Linked DNA regions of Arabidopsis thaliana. The protein of the gene in region 3 interacts with the protein of the main gene of each other region in a pairwise test. Each region holds a gene or a part of one and is shown on either strand. Other genes may lie near its edges. The genes, in order: RGL2, KNAT2, BEL1 and ERF12.

Region 1 (4,488 bases), on a different chromosome or scaffold from region 3:
CGATTGGGAATCATGGAGAACAGGGGCGTAACATGAACCCTAATGAGATGATGTTGCTGATGAATGGATGGGGGAACAATAACAACAACAATAATAGCCAGAAGGAAGAGAAGGAACCATTAGAAGATTTCTTGAATGATGAAGAAAATGAAAATGGTGAACATGAGAAGTGGCGAAGAAGTGGGGATTTTGATTTGAATATTCGGTAAATGAAACCATGACTCAGATTTTCTTTTGGTTTGGTTATCCAAATACTCGTAGTTTGGTGATGTAGTTAAATCTTGAAAGGTAGTGAATAAGGTGAAAGATAAATTGACGATGATGAAGTGTTCTTTGAGGTGGACTAGTTTTGGCGAGTGAGCATGACGCGCTTCAGTTTCGATTCTCTCATCTTATGAATTTTAAAAGAGGGATCCTAAATAAAAAGTAACAAATAATGTAAACCACAAAAGCAAAACAGGCCAATTTAGACACAAGTTACATCAAATGACTAAAAATGGAAAAGCATGCACCATGTGACTTCTAACACAACAACGAATATCATTTTCTTGTAGCTGCGATTGGGACCATACCTATATACAATCCCCACAACATTTTTCTATAATTTATTTTCTTATATTCCAAAAGGATCTTTTACGGTTTCCAAACGATACCACTATTCGAAAAAACCTTAATTATTATGCATGATGATGATGTGTGTATGTAAAACTGCTGAAAGATATATGCAATAAATTAATGAAAGTAACCTTATGTTGTGGACGTCTCGTAGGCTATGTCTTCCTCTACGTGGCACATGAGAAGTTGCTCATGTGTCCCCCTCAAATACTTGAGCTGTAGACTGTAGTTTTATCTCAGTGAAACAATACATAGCTAAAAACATATTTGTTTATCATTATGGTAAAAAAGAATTCACATCACCAGAATGTTAGAACTTGGTCAAGAAAAAAGAGAGTAATAGTTGAATCATATTTGTGTCTGATTATACTTTTCTTATGGACCAATAAAATAATTAGTTATCTAATGTTGTCTCAGTTTAATATGATCTCTAAAAACTGATTACTCTATGACATTAAACCTGCTGGTAACAAAAAATTGTTTGCTTTGAAAATTTGTATTTTTATCCAAACACTAACAACTTAGGATTCTTGCTTCATGATTATACACTTTCGACTGAGGAAAAGATTATATACTTTCTACCAAGATATGAGAAAATCAAATTTGTATAATTCAATATTTTCAGTTGTCATTAGAAAAGAGTTGATTATCAAATGTCAATTATTTAGTGAAAAAATAAACATTATCCAACATAAGGAAAAAAACTACACTTAAGTGCCATTATCTTAACACGCATTTGGTGCCGTTTGGGTTTAAGAACAACGAAGTCGTAAGCGAGAATATGACAATATTCAATGGCATTTAAGAACAATTAAGTCGTGATCGTCTATAAGACTATGACACTATCATTAAAAGACACTTTAATCACTTCACAACTTAAAAACATCTTACCAACAAATATGACGAAAGCACACTACAACCTAAAAGTTATAAAGTTCCATTGGTCAAAACTACTAAACAGATTTAGAAATCTCTACTAAACAGTTATAAAGAAAATTATCCATTACTACAAAAAAAAAGGAGTAAATTTCTTGGAGTTAGGAAAAAATGAAAGAGAGAAACAGATGCCAAACAATAGTGGCATGCTCTGATTCTTATCTCTTAAACACACTTCACAGTCACTTCTCTAATTGGACCTCTCTCTCACTCCCTCGTGCTTTATATATTGCTCCTCTCAGAATCTCCTTTCTTTCCACAAAAATTGTCTGTAACCAAATCACAACAAAGACCCACAAAATTCTTTTTTTTTTCTTTTTCAAATCCCATTAATAAAAACCTTACCAACCCATGAAGTAAAGTAAACTCCTTTCTTATAAACTCTCTTTTGTTCTTTTTTTTTCAACTTCATCAGTCTCTTAACTCACCATCACAAGAACAAGAAAGATGAAGAGAGGATACGGAGAAACATGGGATCCGCCACCAAAACCACTACCAGCTTCTCGTTCCGGAGAAGGTCCTTCAATGGCGGATAAGAAGAAGGCTGATGATGACAACAACAACAGCAACATGGATGATGAGCTTCTTGCTGTTCTTGGCTACAAGGTTCGATCTTCTGAGATGGCTGAAGTAGCACAGAAGCTTGAACAACTTGAGATGGTCTTGTCTAATGATGATGTTGGTTCTACTGTCTTAAACGACTCTGTTCATTATAACCCATCTGATCTCTCTAACTGGGTCGAGAGCATGCTTTCTGAGCTGAACAACCCGGCTTCTTCGGATCTTGACACGACCCGAAGTTGTGTGGATAGATCCGAATACGATCTCAGAGCAATTCCGGGTCTTTCTGCGTTTCCAAAGGAAGAGGAAGTCTTTGACGAGGAAGCTAGCAGCAAGAGGATCCGACTCGGATCGTGGTGCGAATCGTCGGACGAGTCAACTCGGTCCGTGGTGCTCGTTGACTCTCAGGAGACCGGAGTTAGACTTGTCCACGCACTAGTGGCGTGCGCTGAGGCGATTCACCAGGAGAATCTCAACTTAGCTGACGCGCTGGTGAAACGCGTGGGAACACTCGCGGGTTCTCAAGCTGGAGCTATGGGAAAAGTCGCTACGTATTTTGCTCAAGCCTTGGCTCGTCGTATTTACCGTGATTACACGGCGGAGACGGACGTTTGCGCGGCGGTGAACCCATCTTTCGAAGAGGTTTTGGAGATGCACTTTTACGAGTCTTGCCCTTACCTGAAGTTCGCTCATTTCACGGCGAACCAAGCGATTCTAGAAGCTGTTACGACGGCGCGTAGAGTTCACGTCATTGATTTAGGGCTTAATCAAGGGATGCAATGGCCTGCTTTAATGCAAGCTTTAGCTCTCCGACCCGGTGGACCTCCGTCGTTTCGTCTCACCGGAATCGGACCACCGCAGACGGAGAATTCAGATTCGCTTCAACAGTTAGGTTGGAAATTAGCTCAATTCGCTCAGAACATGGGCGTTGAATTCGAATTCAAAGGCTTAGCCGCTGAGAGTTTATCGGATCTTGAACCCGAAATGTTCGAAACCCGACCCGAATCTGAAACCTTAGTGGTTAATTCGGTATTTGAGCTCCACCGGTTATTAGCCCGATCCGGTTCAATCGAAAAGCTTCTCAATACGGTTAAAGCTATTAAACCGAGTATCGTAACGGTGGTTGAGCAAGAAGCGAACCACAACGGAATCGTCTTCCTCGATAGGTTCAACGAAGCGCTTCATTACTACTCGAGCTTGTTTGACTCGCTCGAAGACAGTTATAGTTTACCGAGTCAAGACCGAGTTATGTCAGAAGTGTACTTAGGGAGACAGATACTCAACGTTGTTGCGGCGGAAGGGTCCGATCGGGTCGAGCGGCACGAGACGGCTGCACAGTGGAGGATTCGGATGAAATCCGCTGGGTTTGACCCGATTCATCTCGGATCTAGCGCGTTTAAACAAGCGAGTATGCTTTTATCGCTTTACGCTACCGGAGATGGATACAGAGTTGAAGAAAATGACGGATGTTTAATGATAGGGTGGCAGACGCGACCACTCATCACAACCTCGGCGTGGAAACTCGCCTGAGTCGCGGCGGTAGAGATGACTCGCCTGAAACCGGGAAAAACAATAAATGTTTTAAAAAATTAGGAAAAGAGACCGTAACTTTAGTTATGTTTTTACTTTTTAACCCGAAGTTTTTGTGTGTTTAACCTTTTTGCCTAAATGTTTACAACTTTATCTTTTTGGACCTTGTGCGTATCTTTGAGAGTTAAGAGAACGAGTAAAAAATCTTGTATCGTAGATCGAGCTAAGTAGTTTTCAATAAATGGAAGGATAACGATTCTGTATGTTTTTTACTTGATCCAATATATATGAATTTATTTAAATGATTTTGTGTCATATATTTTTCAAATTTGGACAGTTTCGTTGATAACATGGGAAGTGAACGTGAGCGTTTCTGAAAAGGCGGATCCAAAATGTACTTTCAGTTTCGAGGACTGATGTCAGCCTTTGTTAAAAGATTTTCTTCGAAATATATTTTGGTACATTTTTGTTTTCGAAACAGATTGTTCTTTTCTCTCTCTTTATTATGGGTTTGATGAGGTAATATGGATGTCAAATTGATTTTGACGTACGTTATCAACTTTTAAAAATATGCGAGGTGAAATTATTCTACTTTTATGAGATCATAAGCCTCAAATTCAATGGTCTTCTACCTAAGAGTTGGTGGATCTAAATTTTGGGGGGTTTCAGTTTTGAAAACATATATGAAGTTATTCTTTCTGGAATTCAATCTAGACGTATAGTCAAGAAGGAAATTATAAAACGACATTAACGTAGGGATTTTGGTCGGATAGGTTCGGATTATATATAGAACACTCCAATGGCACAATAATATCATTGAAACCTTTTTTTAAAGTAAAAGCGATT
Region 2 (7,935 bases), on a different chromosome or scaffold from region 3:
GCATAAAATCCGAAATCCAAAAACCGATCCGAAAAATCCGGCTCCGAAACCGAGCCAAATAGTCACAAAATTCGAATGGATAATGAATTCTTCTACCCGAATGGATAATGAAAATAAATTATTTAGTTGACACATCAGCTATCTAAGTAAGGTTCAATACAAATAAGAAATCTATCAATTTGGATGATTGGAAGATTAGTGACATAATATTGCCACTATTTCCAATACAATGTCTCGTTACGCCCTTGACCGTTTTGGCTAACGGGTTCCATTCATTCGCGATGATGCCCCATTTACCAAAAGCTTTTTACTGTTTTCTTTTCTTGGAAAAACAGTGTAAAAATTATACAATGCACAATTTCATGTCTCTCTTTTCATTACTCGGTAAAGAATGTTTCATTAGAATCGTCCATCATATCAAACGGCATGTTCTCCGAAGGCTTCCAATGGCGTTTCCTTTGGTTTATAAACCAATTGTTGATTTGTTTTTGATCCAAACCTGTTTCTTCAGCCAGAGATATTTTGTCGCCTTCCTATACACATTCGAGAGGCGGATATTAATATGTCGAAGAAATAAATTAATGAGTGTATGCTAGGTTACGGTGGAATCAGAAAGACACTTACAGTAGGGTAAGGCCATTTATTATGAACATTCCACCAATCGAGCAACGCTTGTCTTGCTTCTCTTGGTAGCTTCCCTTTCTTCTTCTTTTTAGAGAACTCGAGTTTCAATGAACTGATATGGCTACCAAATTTGCGTAGTAGCTGGTCCTTCAGATCGCGGTCATTGCTTCTTTGTTGGCTGTCATCCGCTGCTATGTCATCATCTTCTCTCAGTTCCTCGTCAGATGAAACCGCACCATCATCTGCTCATACATGAGAATAATGTCATACAGAAGATTCAATAATGATTAGCTCCCACGTATTAGCCAAATACGTGCCATACCGATAAAATGTACTAGGAGAATGTATGGTGGTGCTATTTATGGTAGCATATTTGACAATGTAGAAAGCAAATTCTACCACTATGCCAACACTAACAAACATAGCTAACACTAAGATACTAGTAGGCTCGGCTAAATGACTAAGTGGCTAAAGCAGCTAAAAGAAGAAAAGAGCCAAAAAAGCATAGAGAAGAGAACAAGGGTGAAAGAAAGGAAAAAAAAAAAAAAAAAAGGGTGAAAGAAAGGGGTAAAAGGGGAAAAACAAGGATAGCGAGATAATATCGAGGTTTTACAAGACCCGGGCACAAAAATGATCAGTCAAAAACTTTCGCAGTCACTGAATAGTTTAGCTTCCATTGCCACTGACGTGCTCCTTTGGGACTTACCACTAGCCACCTGAGTCACGACACGTATCACCTTTCTGACACTTGTTTGAGTGACCCCCGGAAAAAACGCTTCCCCAACATTTATGAACTTTCTCATAATGCCCCATTTATGACCATACCATACTGACCCCTATGTTACTGCGACTAAAAGGGAGCCTAATTAAGGGAGTTTAAACATGATTAATGGTCAAATTATTTGCATTAATAGAAATTTCACTTAGTATTCTCAACTTAGTGATTACAGAAAGACATCGTTTCAAAGTCTCCCTAAAGAGTTTAGGTTGTAGTTTGCTACACCACTAATGAGCTGATCCTTAGACAAATCACACAAAATATAGTTCACACCCTATCCATGAAAACTTTGCTAGTTGAGGATGGTATGTGCAATAGTAACTCGGTTTGTTCTTTACCTATTAGCCGAATTTGGTTCCTATATAACATCAAGACAATGCGAAAGAGACAACATGCACTGATAAAAAAAAAGTAGATAGACTTGTACATCTCCCAAAAAAAGTTAAACACGTGGAAATTGCATGGCCCATTAAGGGAACAAACGCAGAGAGGAAATGACAACCACTAAGCAACAGTAGAAAAAGATGTGGAGAAACATTAGTCGTAAGATGATTGCATTGTACATAAATCAAAACCCATGTCTCTCCCCTATTTTCTTCTCTTTCTTTTTCTTTAAAATCAAATCAAATCTTAAAAAGAGAGTGTTGCGATTGGGTCATAAAGGGATCCACCAACGTAATCCACGGGAGTCCATGTGACACTTGACCACCTCATGCTTCTGTCTCCAACTTCTTCTATTTAGAAATTAAAAAGGGCTAAAAGATTTCTAATTCAAGCATTTGGGTGTGTTTTTTTGTGCGTGTCAAAAGGACCATTCTATCAACGAAGGTGATATAACCAAACAGATTATCAGTATTATCATGTCTAGAACTGGTGAAGTAACTAATGTGCCATGACAGAGTATTTTGTTCAAAAGAACATGCTTTTCGAGTTTCCTACGAACATTGAATGAATAGAATATCATTCACAGCCAAAGATATATCTAGGGTGAATGCATAGGGACCTAGGGTGAATGCATTTTACAACACAAAAATACTAGTTGTAGACTGTAGTGAATAATCTTAAACAATAGTCCTAAATTCCACATATGGATACAAAATCGCACATGGATCTCATTGTATCAATACACCATCCGAACACCAAATGATTAGAAGAAAATATGAGGATGGAACAAAAACCATGGCCAAGATTGACCATCTTAATCACGAAAAGGGTCAATTGCACACTAAAGCGAGAACGAAAAAAATAAGTAAACACAATTGCTATGACAAACATCAGTTGACTAAAGAGGATTTGGTTTATTCCTAAAGCATATTAGCACGAAAAGAAACCAAAAGCACATGACTCTGAAAACTACATATTATGAGTTATACTATTAGTTTAAGATATTCAGTTGAAAAGAAAGTCCTTTCTCGGGACTTAAGAAACAGAAAAAGGTATTGACCAAGGAAAAGATGTTCATAAGGTAATATATATTCCTTCAAAATCATACATGAGATTACGCTAAAAAGGTAAGTGGTACTTCAAAACCATTAAAAAACTAAACATTCGTCCAATAAAGATAAATTCAAGCTGCAAGTGATCTGTTTTTCAACCTTTTGGACAAGATTATTCCCTATGTAAACTCCAATTAATTAAGTACGCTGATAAGTATTAACAACTTTTCGGAATTAAACAATGCTAACAAAGTACAACCGAAGCAGCATTTGATATCAACATATAAGAAAAAGAAGACTATTAAAGCTGAATTCCACTATATTGTAGTTCCAATTTTTTTCCAGCTAGTTCTTATCAGGTGGAGATGAAGAAGTAAAATGATTACTTTAAAATCCCTAAGATAGTGAAATACTTTACTTATAAAAAATATACACACGTATTCTGACAACATGAACGTGGCTAAGTAGATTAGTGTAGATTAACAAGAAACTAATTTTTGCCCTGTTGGAAAGGTTTAACCAATATAAGCTACAAAAACAACACAAAGACAACTAAAATTACATTCTTTTAAGAAACCTACTATTCCTTATTTGGGCTGCTTGTAAAATACTTACAAAGTTCTATTCTGCTTAATTAAGAAAACAAATGGTGGAAAAGAAGGTACCATTAAGTTTAGTTTAATACCTCGGCAAATTAGTAAACCTCACTTACATTGTGTAAGTGTCTTAATGCATTTCAATCATTTATTTATTCACATAAAATTCCAACAAGAATACAAGAATAACAGACACATTAACCACGACATGCAGAATATACAAGCCTCTTGGCCATCAAGCATTTTTATGGACTTACATGCGCATGAGCTCAGATTAACTGAAATCCAACAGAGATTTGGTTTAGCTTTTTCGAGCTAAAGAAACACAAAATCCAACTATTTGACCTGATCAAGACACTTCTTTGGTTTACTAAGTCAGATAGGTTCGTGAAAATTAATCACACCAATGATTTTGTACATGTAATTTGAACACAGTGGACTTCAAATGTAAGACCCTTAGGTGCAAATACAATGTATTCAAAAATAAGGGCTAGTGTCATTAATTTTCACATACACTAAGAAAACAAATCAATCTTATGTTATACTCATTATACACAATAAATTTTTATCTCTCTAATAGTAAAAACTAAAGTGACATGGATAAAACTTAAGTCTGACACTTTCTATGGAAAAGTAGTATAAACTTTGGTTCATTCACCAAGAGAAGTTGGAGTAATCAAGAACTAGTAAAGTTTTGTTTTACCCATCAGTCTCTTAATGAAGATGAAAACAAGCGATACTACTAGAGATCTAAACATGAAGCCAAGGACAAACTCAAGAAAAATCAGTGGCATTTATTAGTGGAAGTTATGACTAGGTTTTTTCTCTATGATTGAATTTTCACTGGAAATAAGCAATTAAAAAACTTCCAGTACGACACTGAAACGTCAAAATCAGAATCTCTAGCGCAAAAGTTTTTGCTTTCATAGACCCATATTTTCTTCTGACAGAGGAGAAGATAATAATACAAGTATATATAAAAGTAACAAAAGAAAAGTATACCATACCAAAATCACTAGGAAAATAAATATCACTAACAGAGAAAATCCTACCCACCGGCTTTCCCCTAATATCCGCCCCACAGCTTAAACCATAGCTAATGATAGAAAATAAATGTCACAAAGATGTGTGAAGGTCATGGATCTATCTAAAGCATGAATGACTTCTACCAAATATAAAAGATGTGGCTGAATCAATCATTGTTTTCTAACAAAACTAGGGTTTTAGAGTTTCCTTGTTTTTTTCTGACTTTTATTGCCTTGGGTTGTCTAAACCGGATCTACTAAGCTCCTCCTAGTTTCAGCTACAACAACTTATCGATTCTCGTTTTCTTTAAGGAAAAAAAAAACAGTAGAAGATTTCCAATTTTTCCATCAATTCCAAGAAACTGATCATTGAAGCACAGAAAGGAAAAGTTATCTGAGGATAGATTTTCTAATCCGCAAGATCTGTAACTGTAAGGAGAAATTTGCGCAAGGATTTTAAAGGACACACAAACCGAGGATAGTGCTCAAAGATCAATAAAAACACTAGCTAGGAAACAAGAAATCAAAAGTACACTCGAACAAGAGATAGATATCACTTTAGTGCTGACCTGAAAGAGCTGTAGCAGACGCTGGACCAGTGCACAAGTTCTGAAGCTGCATTTCAATCTTGTTTATGAAAGTTGTAGCCTCGTCGAACGGCCTCGCAAGATCGGTTTTGTATTTAACCAATATATCACAGTAGGTTTCCTAGAATCACACCACAAAAAAACAAAATTATATTTTAAGAAAAACTAGAAGATCAAAGTTCAAGGCAACGAACAAAGTGAGAAACCATGAATTCATCAAGCTCAGGATCAGCTCCAAAGCAAGATAATGGAGCAACATCTCTCTTGTACACATGGTTCTCTCGCTGAATCTCTTCCAATATACACGCTATTTCCATAGGCGCTCCCACCTGTCAATCAATAACCAAAAAAAAAAAAAAATCACTCTCACATATAAACACAGTCTCTCTAGTTCTCCAATCTTATCTTAGGGTTAAAGTGGAATAGAAAAAAAAAAGTAAGAGAACTATCTTTAAATACGACGATGAATACATGTAAAATTCCTGACGCTTAATCAAATTAACCTTGAAAGCACAAAATCATACACAACAAGAAAAAGAAAAGACAAAACACGAAAGCAGCGAGATCACCTTTTGGCAATCGATGTAGGTTTGGAGTAAGCGAGGATACAAAGGATGAGAAGCGATTTTGGATTTGATGACACTAAGAGAGAAATTATCCTCAGCTTTTCGAATACGCGGAAGCAACTCCGAGGACAAAGCGGTAGCGAGTTCGTCGGATCCAAACAGTCTTTGATTGTCTCCGGTGGTTGAACAAATCAAAGACTGATAATCGGACGGCATCATCAACGTCGCTTTCTCCGAATAGTCTTCCGTCGAGCGGAAACCACACATTCTATCCATTAATGTGATCGTAGTGAGATACGATCAGTGATCGCCGCTTCTTCGATCCCTAGCCTTGTGCTTGCTTCTGAAGAATATGAAGAAACACAAAAGTAAGAAGTAACAAACTGCTTCAAAGAGAGAGAGAGATAGAGACAATGGAAATAGATAGACTGGCCAAGTTGAGGCGGTCTCGTAGTATAGTAGTCTGAGGGCAATGATCGTAAATATTTCAGCAAAAAACCAAAAAAAAAAAAAAATGATTTGTGACGAAAAGCAAAAAAAAAAAAAAATCACGAATATGAATTTTCATAGTTTATTATGATAATTTACAAGTTTTTCTTAAAGACACCATAATTTTTATTTTATTTTGTCGTACTAGTATAAAAGAAGAAAGATTTCAAGGGTTTGCCATATGTGTTAAGGAATACGATTCGAGTGATTATAAAAAGATTTCTTCGTGATTCAAGAGCACTTTTTTTAACTGTACGATTACATGGTTACGATTATTTTTGATATATAATATTATCGCACAAATGATCAAAATAGCACGCTAACCTTTAGAATTTATGACTTAGCTAATGAAGACAACAATTAGTACTTGTTAACAAAAACAGGTTAGACGATGGTAATTTGAATTTTGACAGTAAAAACAAATGATGGTAATTTTGTTAATTAATAAGCTTTTTGTTTCAATTACGGTGGCCGACACCTACTAGGCTACTACGATTCTAGTTGTCTAACCGGATCGGTTCAACTTCAATTTCACTCTTTCAATTTTCACCTAGTTTTGTTTCTCTGTAAAACACGTCTATGGTAGCTAGGTGCTCATTATCAATCACAACATAGTAAACAATTTTTGTTTTTTAATTGCTTTCAGTCATTTGCTAATTAAACACACTCTTAGGAACTATTTTTTATAGTGGCCACTCCACTTATCGCACTTCTTGTTATTTTCATAGAGAATCTGTTAGTCGCGTATAATATCAACTCAAAATGTTTCATTACCTTATATAGTAACAGAACCTGCAGTTTTTGTCATAAACCAAAATCCATCTATAAACCCTGTTGTAAGAAAAAAAACTATATTTTTGCATGGGTCTACTCCAGACCCGATCCGATGATCCATATCGTTTTTTCCGCAAAAAAAAATAAAAACAAATGTCATAAAGGTCTTTTTGATGATGGACAGGTTTGATTGACACATCCGTCGGACTACTTTGGTGTGAAATTTAACTGACATAAAGCTTTGTTTTAGTATCAAACCTTATAAAAACGACAGAACTTTCCTTCTCTCTCATTTCACTTCGTTGGATCGTATCGTATTGAATCCCCACCGGTGGCCTTCACAGCACATATTTATATTGTTTCTAAACTTTTCTGTATTTTTTGGGGGGGGTCACAAGTTTCTATAATCTATATGATCACTATCGTCGAGAAATGATTGCAAAAAAAAAATGTGTGTCTTGCAGAAAAAATAATAATAACAAAAAGTGACGACTAAATTATTAGATCAAGTGCATATAATTATGTTGCTAAGATAATATTGTACCACTCGAATGTTTCATCATGGATTGTTCATACTGTTCCCGTGATTTAGTGTTGTTAGGTTTCAATTCTTTGTATTGAGGTTTTTGTTAATATATTATTGTACCACTCGGTTGCTTCAACTTTGTAGGAGTTTATTGTCATTCTTTTTTGTATCTCATATCATCAATATGTGGTTTTGAACAAATTTGTTTCTGTTGTTAGAAATGTTACTGAAATTGGAGATTACTTAGCTTCTTATGGATTTTATTTATTTATTTTGGGAATCCCAGGTCTTAATACTCTCCTTTGGTTGTTTCTCTTTCTTTCTAAGTAGTTTTATGCTATACAATTACATGTTATCAAAATAATCTTAATATGGTTTATAAAATTTTATATGCTTGTCTTAATATGTTATGTTTTAACAAATATTGTTTTTAGTCATCTCTACATAACGCTTGTAACGAACTGAAATTTGAGATTACTATACTAAACACTGAGAGACTCATTTTTAATTAACTAACATATAATTATAACTTAA
Region 3 (6,553 bases):
TACATGTGCCAAGCAGAAGAACGACTATATTAGTTTTCTATGTCAACATTTAAGAAACATTTATTTAAAATTTGAATATTTGATTTTGTATGTCAGCAATGTTTAAGAAAACTTTGATTTTTTGTTTTCCTTCTTTTGCGTACATATTAAATGGAATTTAATAGAAAACCATTAAATCTTGATATAATTAACTTCTTCGCCCTTGCAGTTACTAACAAGGAGACTTTTGTTTTGGTACTTTCTCGATTAGTTTAGTGACCGACCAACAACGTATTTTAAAACTCAAAACACAATCTCTTTCACGTACTGTGCGAAGTGCAAGTCGAATAATGACATCAGTCCATTTGTGTTGTATTACACGGGACTACGATCTCTATTCTACTATATATAATTACTATTAATTAAAATGTTTATATAGTTATGATATGGTTGATAGTAATTTAATAGTAATTGTTAAACAGTAGAGAAGTGACACTGAGACATATCTGAGAAAAGCCTGAACTCAACTCCTACTTCTGGTTTGATTTCTTGGGATTCGTTCTCTTTCATTTACTTACCTCTCCATCTATACACCAACATATATATATATATATTGGTATGTTAATTCTCCAAAAAAAAAAAAAACTATTTTAGGAGCAAAACTTTTTCACAGTTATTCATTTTTTAAGTTAACTTAACTTCTCTTCTTTGTTTGAAAATTCATTTATCATCAAATAATTCTGTTATAAATTAGACCTGATAATAATTCTTTAACAAAGAAAATATATTTTAGGAGCAAAATAGGCAGAGCCGCAGAGGCATACATGTATTATATATAACGATTATTTATGTATAGAAAGGGACACCTTTTGTACAAAATACTAGTTAAATTTGTACATTCACGTGACTGGTTGGCTAAATTTAGAATATTATTATTTTCAATTAAAAATCATCGTCAATGTTCAAATATTGCTTGAGATACGCTATGCTTCATAAAAATGTTTAAAAAGTAGTTCCAAAAAATATTTTCACCAAAAAAAAAAGTAGTTCCAAAAATATTCATTTAATAACAAAATTTGCCTACATAAGCTTAGCAAACGACACTAACACCAAAATTGATATCATTTTCTTAGATAACATATTGTATACATATCTACATACATACTAAATACATATACACGTAGATTACACGTATGGATTCAGCAATAAAAATCAAAATACTAAATACATATATACATATATATATATATATATGAACATTTAAATACTAAATTATGTTTAATAAATAATTAAATCAACGTAGAGATATGTCATATGAAGATGGCTTGTATAATTAGTTTGTGTACCGGGCAAAGGATCTCTAATTTTTGTTTTCTTTAGTTCAGTTTAATTATTTGTTATCTATCCAATCAATTTTTTTTCTAAACTGTTTGGACCAATGTACGTACGTACCATCCTTTTTGATTTTTTTTGTAAACTAAATTTTCGAATTAGCAGGTTCTTAATAATTGAACGAAGAAAATAAAGAATAGAGGTAGACACCTGTAGTATTTTCTTGGTCAGACCAATAATTTATAATTCAACGTCAAAGAAGAAGAAAAATATAAACCATTATTTCATTATGACTTACGTATACCAAAATACACAAATTAAATGTATAATTGTGAGGCATTTTATATGCGGGAAAAAATAAAATAAAAAGAATATTAATATTTCTTTTGAAAATTGTAAAGCATTTTGACCCACTTGTGATATATATATATATATAGATATATATAGAGAGAGAGATTAAAACATTGATGGCTAGCTATAGAGTCTATGGCAGGGTCATGATCACCTGTCTTCTGATCTCTGAAGAGATACCAATCTGATTTTTTCTCTTCCTAGGTTTAATTTTATTTTACCATTTTATAATTCTTTATTTTTGCCTGTAGTACAATTTACAGACCCATACTAAAAGAAAAATTAAATTTTGTCAAAGTACAAAACAAAGAGAGAGGTGAAGCCACACAATCTCTTTTCTTCTCTCTCTCTCTGTTATATCTCTTCTGTTTAATTCTTTTATTCTTCTTCGTCTATCTTCTCCTATAATCTCTTCTCTCTCCCTCTTCACCTAAAGAATAAGAAGAAAAATAATTCACATCTTTATGCAAACTACTTTCTTGTAGGGTTTTAGGAGCTATCTCTATTGTCTTGGTTCTGATACAAAGTTTTGTAATTTTCATGGTATGAGAAGATTTGCCTTTCTATTTTGTTTATTGGTTCTTTTTAACTTTTTCTTGGAGATGGGTTCTTGTAGATCTTAATGAAACTTCTGTTTTTGTCCCAAAAAGAGTTTTCTTTTTTCTTCTCTTCTTTTTGGGTTTTCAATTCTTGAGAGACATGGCAAGAGATCAGTTCTATGGTCACAATAACCATCATCATCAAGAGCAACAACATCAAATGATTAATCAGATCCAAGGGTTTGATGAGACAAACCAAAACCCAACCGATCATCATCATTACAATCATCAGATCTTTGGCTCAAACTCCAACATGGGTATGATGATAGACTTCTCTAAGCAACAACAGATTAGGATGACAAGTGGTTCGGATCATCATCATCATCATCATCAGACAAGTGGTGGTACTGATCAGAATCAGCTTCTGGAAGATTCTTCATCTGCCATGAGACTATGCAATGTTAATAATGATTTCCCAAGTGAAGTAAATGATGAGAGACCACCACAAAGACCAAGCCAAGGTCTTTCCCTTTCTCTCTCCTCTTCAAATCCTACAAGCATCAGTCTCCAATCTTTCGAACTCAGACCCCAACAACAACAACAACAAGGGTATTCCGGTAATAAATCAACACAACATCAGAATCTCCAACACACGCAGATGATGATGATGATGATGAATAGTCACCACCAAAACAACAACAATAACAATCATCAGCATCATAATCATCATCAGTTTCAGATTGGGAGTTCCAAGTATTTGAGTCCAGCTCAAGAGCTACTGAGTGAGTTTTGCAGTCTTGGAGTAAAGGAAAGCGATGAAGAAGTGATGATGATGAAGCATAAGAAGAAGCAAAAGGGTAAACAACAAGAAGAGTGGGACACAAGTCACCACAGCAACAATGATCAACATGACCAATCTGCGACTACTTCTTCAAAGAAACATGTTCCACCACTTCACTCTCTTGAGTTCATGGAACTTCAGAAAAGAAAAGCCAAGTTGCTCTCCATGCTCGAAGAGGTATATATATTTTCAAGAAATTATTTCATTACTACTATCAAAACTTACATGAGTTTCTTAGAAAATCTAATCCTTTTTTATTTGGTTTCAACTTATTCCTAAAAATGTAAAATACCCACAAGTCTTTTACAAATCTTTTTTTTTTTCCTTTCATTTGGTTTCAACTTATTCCTAAATATGTAAGATACCCATAAATCTTGTATTTTTTCGATTCTTGATTAGGTCCATATATTTCTTAAAGTTACAAATTTCTTTTAGATATTAAGATAAAAAGATTCTTTTTTGTCTTCATTCTTTCATGTATTCTCGTCGAAAACAAGTTCGATCGTATCAACTACGAAAAGATCAACCCTTTTAATTCCTTTACTCATTATTTCTTTTTTTCTATAGAACCAAAATATAATTTTGTTTTCTTTGCTTTGAGCTAATTTGGAGACTCTAGTGGTCCTCCATATTTATAGCAATCAGTTTCATCATCATAAGCCATAACGAGTTGTTTCTTTTTCGTGTATTTACTCATTCTAAGAATCTACATTTACACGATTGTGATTGAAATCTTTGTGAATGGTGTGGGGTAACGTTTTTTTGCGGTTTTTTGGCAGCTTAAAAGAAGATATGGACATTACCGAGAGCAAATGAGAGTTGCGGCGGCAGCCTTTGAAGCGGCGGTTGGACTAGGAGGGGCAGAGATATACACTGCGTTAGCGTCAAGGGCAATGTCAAGACACTTTCGGTGTTTAAAAGACGGACTTGTGGGACAGATTCAAGCAACAAGTCAAGCTTTGGGAGAGAGAGAAGAGGATAATCGTGCGGTTTCTATTGCAGCACGTGGAGAAACTCCACGGTTGAGATTGCTCGATCAAGCTTTGCGGCAACAGAAATCGTATCGCCAAATGACTCTTGTTGACGCTCATCCTTGGCGTCCACAACGCGGCTTGCCTGAACGCGCAGTCACAACGTTGAGAGCTTGGCTCTTTGAACACTTTCTTCACCCGTAAGTTATTTCATATACATCCTCTTAATATATTTACACATACCTAAAAGTTACTAATTGTGTCTTTCTGAAGTGATCAATGAAGGTAGAATCACAAGTTAATTGGGTATATTTATGGAGCTATATAAAACCTCTTTAACGATTTTATTTCATTGATAGTACGTTGATAAATAGTATGATAGGTTTTTTTTGTTTGTTACATGAATATTTTTGAACATATAAAAGTAAAAAAATATGTACATTTTATATAGAGAGATTGAGATTGACTTGACAAGCATAGGATACAATCTACCTTAATCTGTTAATTGCATATAGCTTTTTTATTTTCCTTTTTCTTTCATTTGCACTATTGGTGTGAAAGTGAGTGTACAAACATATACATATACACATGTATATATATGTATACGAACATATAAAATTAAATAAAATAAATTTAACTGGTGGATGAAAGACAGAAATAGAGAAAGGTACAAAGTGGATTGAGAGAGAGAATCAATGTTCTTTACCTAACACTAACAAAAGAGAGAAACTATACATAACTCCTTGCTTTTTTCTCCATGTTTTTATTTTGTTCTTTTTCTTCTACTTTTTATTTATTTAATTTACAGAAGTTATATGTTTATCATCATATGTAACACTTGTCTCCATCAATTCCCAAACACTGCTCAAACAATGAAACATCTTGTTAGTTTTCACCAAACCCTTTACCTTTGCTTCCATTTTATTTGCATCATTCTTCAATCATTTATATCCTTTTTTTTAATTACATATCCATTTGTCTTATATTTTTCCATTAAAGTAAAATTTTCTTATTTTTGTTTTCAGATATCCGAGCGATGTTGATAAGCATATATTGGCCCGACAAACTGGTTTATCAAGAAGTCAGGTAAAGAATAACTCCACTAATTCTTGATATATTCCAAAATTTATTATCCTATTTACTAAAGTTATAATAAACCAAAATTGTTAGGTATCAAATTGGTTTATTAATGCAAGAGTTAGGCTATGGAAACCAATGATTGAAGAAATGTACTGTGAAGAAACAAGAAGTGAACAAATGGAGATTACAAACCCGATGATGATCGATACTAAACCGGACCCGGACCAGTTGATCCGTGTCGAACCGGAATCTTTATCCTCAATAGTGACAAACCCTACATCCAAATCCGGTCACAACTCAACCCATGGAACGATGTCGTTAGGGTCAACGTTTGACTTTTCCTTGTACGGTAACCAAGCTGTGACATACGCTGGTGAAGGAGGGCCACGTGGTGACGTTTCCTTGACGCTTGGGTTACAACGTAACGATGGTAACGGTGGTGTGAGTTTAGCGTTGTCTCCAGTGACGGCTCAAGGTGGCCAACTTTTCTACGGTAGAGACCACATTGAAGAAGGACCGGTTCAATATTCAGCGTCGATGTTAGATGATGATCAAGTTCAGAATTTGCCTTATAGGAATTTGATGGGAGCTCAATTACTTCATGATATTGTTTGAGATTAAAAGATTAGGACCAAAGTTATCGATACATATTTTCCAAAACCGATTCGGTTATGTAACGGTTTAGTTAGATAAAAACCAAATTAGATATTTATATATACCGTTGTCTGATTGGATTGGAGGATTGGTGGACAAGGAGATATTATTAATGTATGAGTTAGTTGGTTCGTCAATATCACTTGTAGGATATTTTCATTTTGTTTTTTAAAATATATTATTGAGAGGTTTTTTTCTCAATCTAATACTTTTTTCTTAATGTAAATCATATATATTTTTGTTTAAGGAAATATTATCAAGTGTCTTTTCAAATCTGTTTTCATATTCTAGGACCATCTCAAACTATTTGGAAACATTCAATCCCTTAAAATTTTGTTTTTCTTATAAATTTGGTTTCAAAATTTCGAAAAGTAAATGGATATATAGTTTTTTTTAAAGTATGTTGAGTGTCTGTACATGACAATCGTTTACGTATATACTTGATACAAATTATAAAATTGAATGTGTGTAACTGTGTATAATATACACATAAATAGATATCACACAAACATGGACGAGTGAAATTTGTGTAGTTGGCATGCATTATACGGATTTGGAATCGAATAGATACGACTTCAGTAACGAAAATCACTAGACCATCATATTTATATAAAGACATAATTAGAGAGAGTGTATGGTCTTTGTGTTATTAATGACAAAACCTAATAAAATAAAGTTGACGACAAACATAATAAAGAAAGAACAAACTGACTATTGGACCATCTCGGTCGATCGATAACGTTCACGTGTACACTCCCGTATACATATAAAGTTATGTACACATGAATAATGAATTCAAGCAAGTT
Region 4 (3,711 bases), on a different chromosome or scaffold from region 3:
AAAAAGAGGCGCGAAAGTGCAGTCAGATCAGGTGTGGGGAGAGAGGAGGAGGGGGTTCATGGAATGAGAAGAAGACACGTAAGCAGAGAGACATCAAAGTCATGATTTCGTGTGAGTGTTGAGTTGTGTTCTGTTTTTGTAGGAGGCAGCCAGTCAGTACCACTTGATGACGATGCTCCTTTTGTCCTAGCTGCTACTACAAAGACACGTCATAAAGCTCTTATGTATCACAGGCTCACGTGAACACGAAAGCCACATTCACATTTTTCTCCAAAATATTTCTTGAAAATGATTATTAGTACTGTAGTAGCTTATATAGCTTTGGGGTATCTCTCTTTTTTTTACTGTGCTTATAGGTAGGGTTAATTTAAATAATTAGATATGTCAGAGAGAGAGAAGTCAGACATCAGAGTTCGCACGTGTATAAATTTTGTTAGATATGGACCAATGCATTTGTTCAATCAAAACGACAGACCCTAAGCCTTGTCACGTGAAAGGAAACACAGATTTTTTTATTTATTTTTAAATAACCCTAAAACCAAACAAAAACATCTTACAAAATGTCAAGAAATAGAGAAGTTAAAAGACAAATTAATCTAATAAAACTTCAGTTGATAAAACAAAAACAAAAAACCTCTAACTAATTTGTTTTAATTCATTGTCTATTACTGAAAATTATAAGCCACTTCAATTGCTATAAATTTTTGACTCCTATGATTACTATATATTTTACACAATATAAAGACTTAAACTACGTCACTTTTTAGAGGGAAAAGAAAGAGCCTATGTAATCTACTCTATTAGTATAGACTAGAGAGTATAGTAAGTTTGCATAAGATGGGCTAATGAATTTTGGACAAAAAGAAAAACAAAATCAGTCAGAGCTAAAGATAGAGTAGTTGTGTCAAGTAACTTTATTTAATGATCTCCTTGTAGCCTTGTCCTCGTGCATCATAAATATATATGGGTGCCAATAAAACCCCAAAAGAGAGCATTTAAATACTTGTCAAATAATAGAGTGAAAGATACAAAAGATAGAGAGAGATGGCTATTATCAGTACTAGGGATTACGTCAGCATCCCTATGCCACAGGTTCAGTCAAAGAGGCGGCCCATTTTTCTTTCCTCTTCGTAAATGTACAAGATTATTTATTTTTAGTTCTTTTTTCTTTGATCATTTTGTATCAATGGTTGCTGTGAGAAAAAGCATCGAGATTGTTACGATCGAAAACAAAGTACTTGAATTATGAAAAAATGTTTGGAGAGCCTATGCAAAAATGATCTTTCTATCTTCTTTTTATAATAGCATAAATTTCATAGTATGGCATTATCGTCACTAGCAAGTAATGAGTTAATTTACCATAAGTTACAACGGTAATGAGGTTGTTTGGAGAGTAGAACTAAAATATTTTATTTCTAACCATTACCTAACAAATCTTTTTTATATAACAGAAGTTGTAAATGGTAGATAAGAAAACAGTATTAGCACTCAAAGGAATGATTAGCATTGTTTTCTTTCATGTCCTAGAATAAGTCCACTCACCACTAGAAGTATTCACTTTATGAGAAATCCTATTGTATTTTTTCAAATACATCAACTTATTAAAACAACATTATTTTGGTGTAGAACACCCACGTGTAACAATCTCTCAGCATACCACCGTCACATCACCCAACAGCAAAAGATCGAACGGTGCTTGATTCTTGCAAACCCCAGAGAAAACCTCGATCCTAGAAATCAAACACTATTCAGTTTTGTTTTTACTATTAACTTGCCATATATATTACGTATAGGCAACAAATAAAGATAGATAATCGTCAAAAGAAGCCGAGGATTACGGGTGTTCTCAAGCGGCCCTACAAACACACCTCTTGCTCTTTAAACTCACTCACTCTCTCTCTCATTTGGGTCAAACGAGCCAACAAAGCAAAACCTCTTTCTTCTCTTCTCCACTTTCTCTCTAGATTCTCTCATATTTCCCCTCTTGAGAGTCTAACAATGGCGTCAACGACGTGTGCAAGAGAGGTGCATTACAGAGGAGTCAGAAAGAGACCTTGGGGTCGCTACGCTGCTGAGATACGAGATCCTTGGAAGAAAACTAGGGTTTGGTTAGGCACTTTCGACACTCCCGAAGAAGCTGCTCTTGCTTACGACGGCGCTGCTCGTTTCCTCCGTGGTATCAAAGCCAAAACTAACTTCCCTTCTCCTCTCTCTCTCGACCTCAACCACCTCCCTTCCGCTCCCTCAGCCGCAACCGCCGCCGCAAATAACCAACCCCACCAACACCAACAGCTCTGGTTCGCTGCGCCTCCTCCTGTTCCTCCAAGCTCCGACCATCATCACCAACACCACCGCATTTTTCTCCGAACCGGTGTGCTAAACGACAAAACTTCAGATTACTCTTCTACAGAAGCGCCGCTTTACTTCACCTCCTCGCCTAACACAGCCACGTCATCGCCTGGTTATCAAGTGGTTGGGTTTCCGATGATGAATTCTTCTCCTTCCCCTGTTACGGTGAGACGTGGCTTAGCCATTGACCTCAACGAGCCTCCGCCGCTTTGGCTTTGAAAACAAACGATAAAGATGGATATAGCGGCGCCGTTTTGCCTACTTTTCTATACGGCGCCGTTTGAGACCACTTTCGGTGGAACTACTTTAGTTTCTTTTTTTAGCAAATAGTATCTTTTTGTTAGAGTTAGTAGACTTGTTTTTATAATTTAATCCTTCTTTTGTTCGTTATGTAAGAGTCGGAGATCGATTGTTGTTGTGAGATCCATATGTTGCGGAAAAAACAAGAAACTTCTTAATTAGCAACACAAAAACTTAACAACGTCTGAACGTGGATCTAATTATGTTTGTGGATCGTGTTACGACCGTCGCTTATGTCGGTTTCGAGGGGGTTTTAAAAATCTTATCGTATTCTATGGCGTGTCGTGAAGTACGGACTGACTTGTGCAGCTGTTTGCTTTGCTAGTGTCCTGTTTGACTCACGCGCCTCTCTCTTAAATCACGACAAAAGACGGACTGAGAAAAGAAGGAAACAAACAAAAGAGATAGAGACTAATGAGAGACGTAAATGCTGAGCAAGCGTGTGAGTTTGGACTGGCTTATTCACTTACGGACAAGATATGTGTATTATGAGTCTTGAGTTTGTAAATAAATTGTATTTTTTTATTTATTTTGAAAATTTTCATATGAATTCGAACAAAAGTTTTCTGATAAAATTAGAGGAAGTTTAATTGTCCTATAATTTTTCTGCTCATGTTTACCAATCTTATATATGTTATGCGTGTATACATATATATATAGAAGCATCTAAAAATATAAAATAAATAAAATTTTTGACGGTCCTATATAGATAAATATCAAATTCACATAACAAATTTATCTACAGAAGTCTTAAAATAACGCAAATTTCAGTAGTAAATGAAACAAACATGTTTGATATAATCAAATATCATAAGAAGTCAAATTAATTAACTAAAGGAGATCTCACGTAGCGAAATCAAAACTTTCATGCAGATTGTGAAGATTTTATGTTTATGTTTTATATGTAGAACCGGAATCGTGTAGTTTTATGAGACTATAAAACAGTCATAGAACTGTTACATGTGTTAGACACTTAGACATATGTATTGACTAAACAAAGATCATGCATTATGCATATTGCTTTCATAAAAGATCAAATTCTAACAGTTTCGTTGCAACTTC

The links.
Region 1: the proteins of BEL1 (region 3) and RGL2 interact in binary tests that used the Arabidopsis thaliana proteins (3 or more experiments, as listed by UniProt).
Region 2: the proteins of BEL1 (region 3) and KNAT2 interact in binary tests that used the Arabidopsis thaliana proteins (3 or more experiments, as listed by UniProt).
Region 4: the proteins of BEL1 (region 3) and ERF12 interact in binary tests that used the Arabidopsis thaliana proteins (3 or more experiments, as listed by UniProt).

Annotation. Positions count from the first base shown.
Region 1 is NC_003074.8:818,790-823,277, reverse strand, and holds RGL2 (RGA-like 2), read left to right. Parts: upstream 1-1,625; 5' UTR 1,626-1,998; coding exon 1,999-3,642; 3' UTR 3,643-3,941; downstream 3,942-4,488. Other genes in the region: AT3G03460 (mediator of RNA polymerase II transcription subunit-like protein), read left to right, coding at 1-209.
Region 2 is NC_003070.9:26,574,588-26,582,522, reverse strand, and holds KNAT2 (homeobox knotted-like protein), read right to left. Parts: upstream 6,038-7,935; 5' UTR 5,889-6,037; coding exon 5,616-5,888; intron 5,376-5,615; coding exon 5,241-5,375; intron 5,168-5,240; coding exon 5,029-5,167; intron 867-5,028; coding exon 625-866; intron 534-624; coding exon 378-533; 3' UTR 92-377; downstream 1-91. UniProt on the Arabidopsis thaliana protein: May play a role in meristem function, and may be involved in maintaining cells in an undifferentiated, meristematic state. Probably binds to the DNA sequence 5'-TGAC-3'.
Region 3 is NC_003076.8:16,578,063-16,584,615, forward strand, and holds BEL1 (POX (plant homeobox) family protein), read left to right. Parts: upstream 1-1,873; 5' UTR 1,874-2,361; coding exon 2,362-3,219; intron 3,220-3,821; coding exon 3,822-4,213; intron 4,214-5,038; coding exon 5,039-5,099; intron 5,100-5,183; coding exon 5,184-5,708; 3' UTR 5,709-6,015; downstream 6,016-6,553. UniProt on the Arabidopsis thaliana protein: Plays a major role in ovule patterning and in determination of integument identity via its interaction with MADS-box factors. Formation of complex with AG-SEP dimers negatively regulates the carpel identity process and favors the maintenance of ovule identity.
Region 4 is NC_003070.9:9,949,936-9,953,646, forward strand, and holds ERF12 (ERF domain protein 12), read left to right. Parts: upstream 1-1,826; 5' UTR 1,827-1,998; coding exon 1,999-2,568; 3' UTR 2,569-3,170; downstream 3,171-3,711.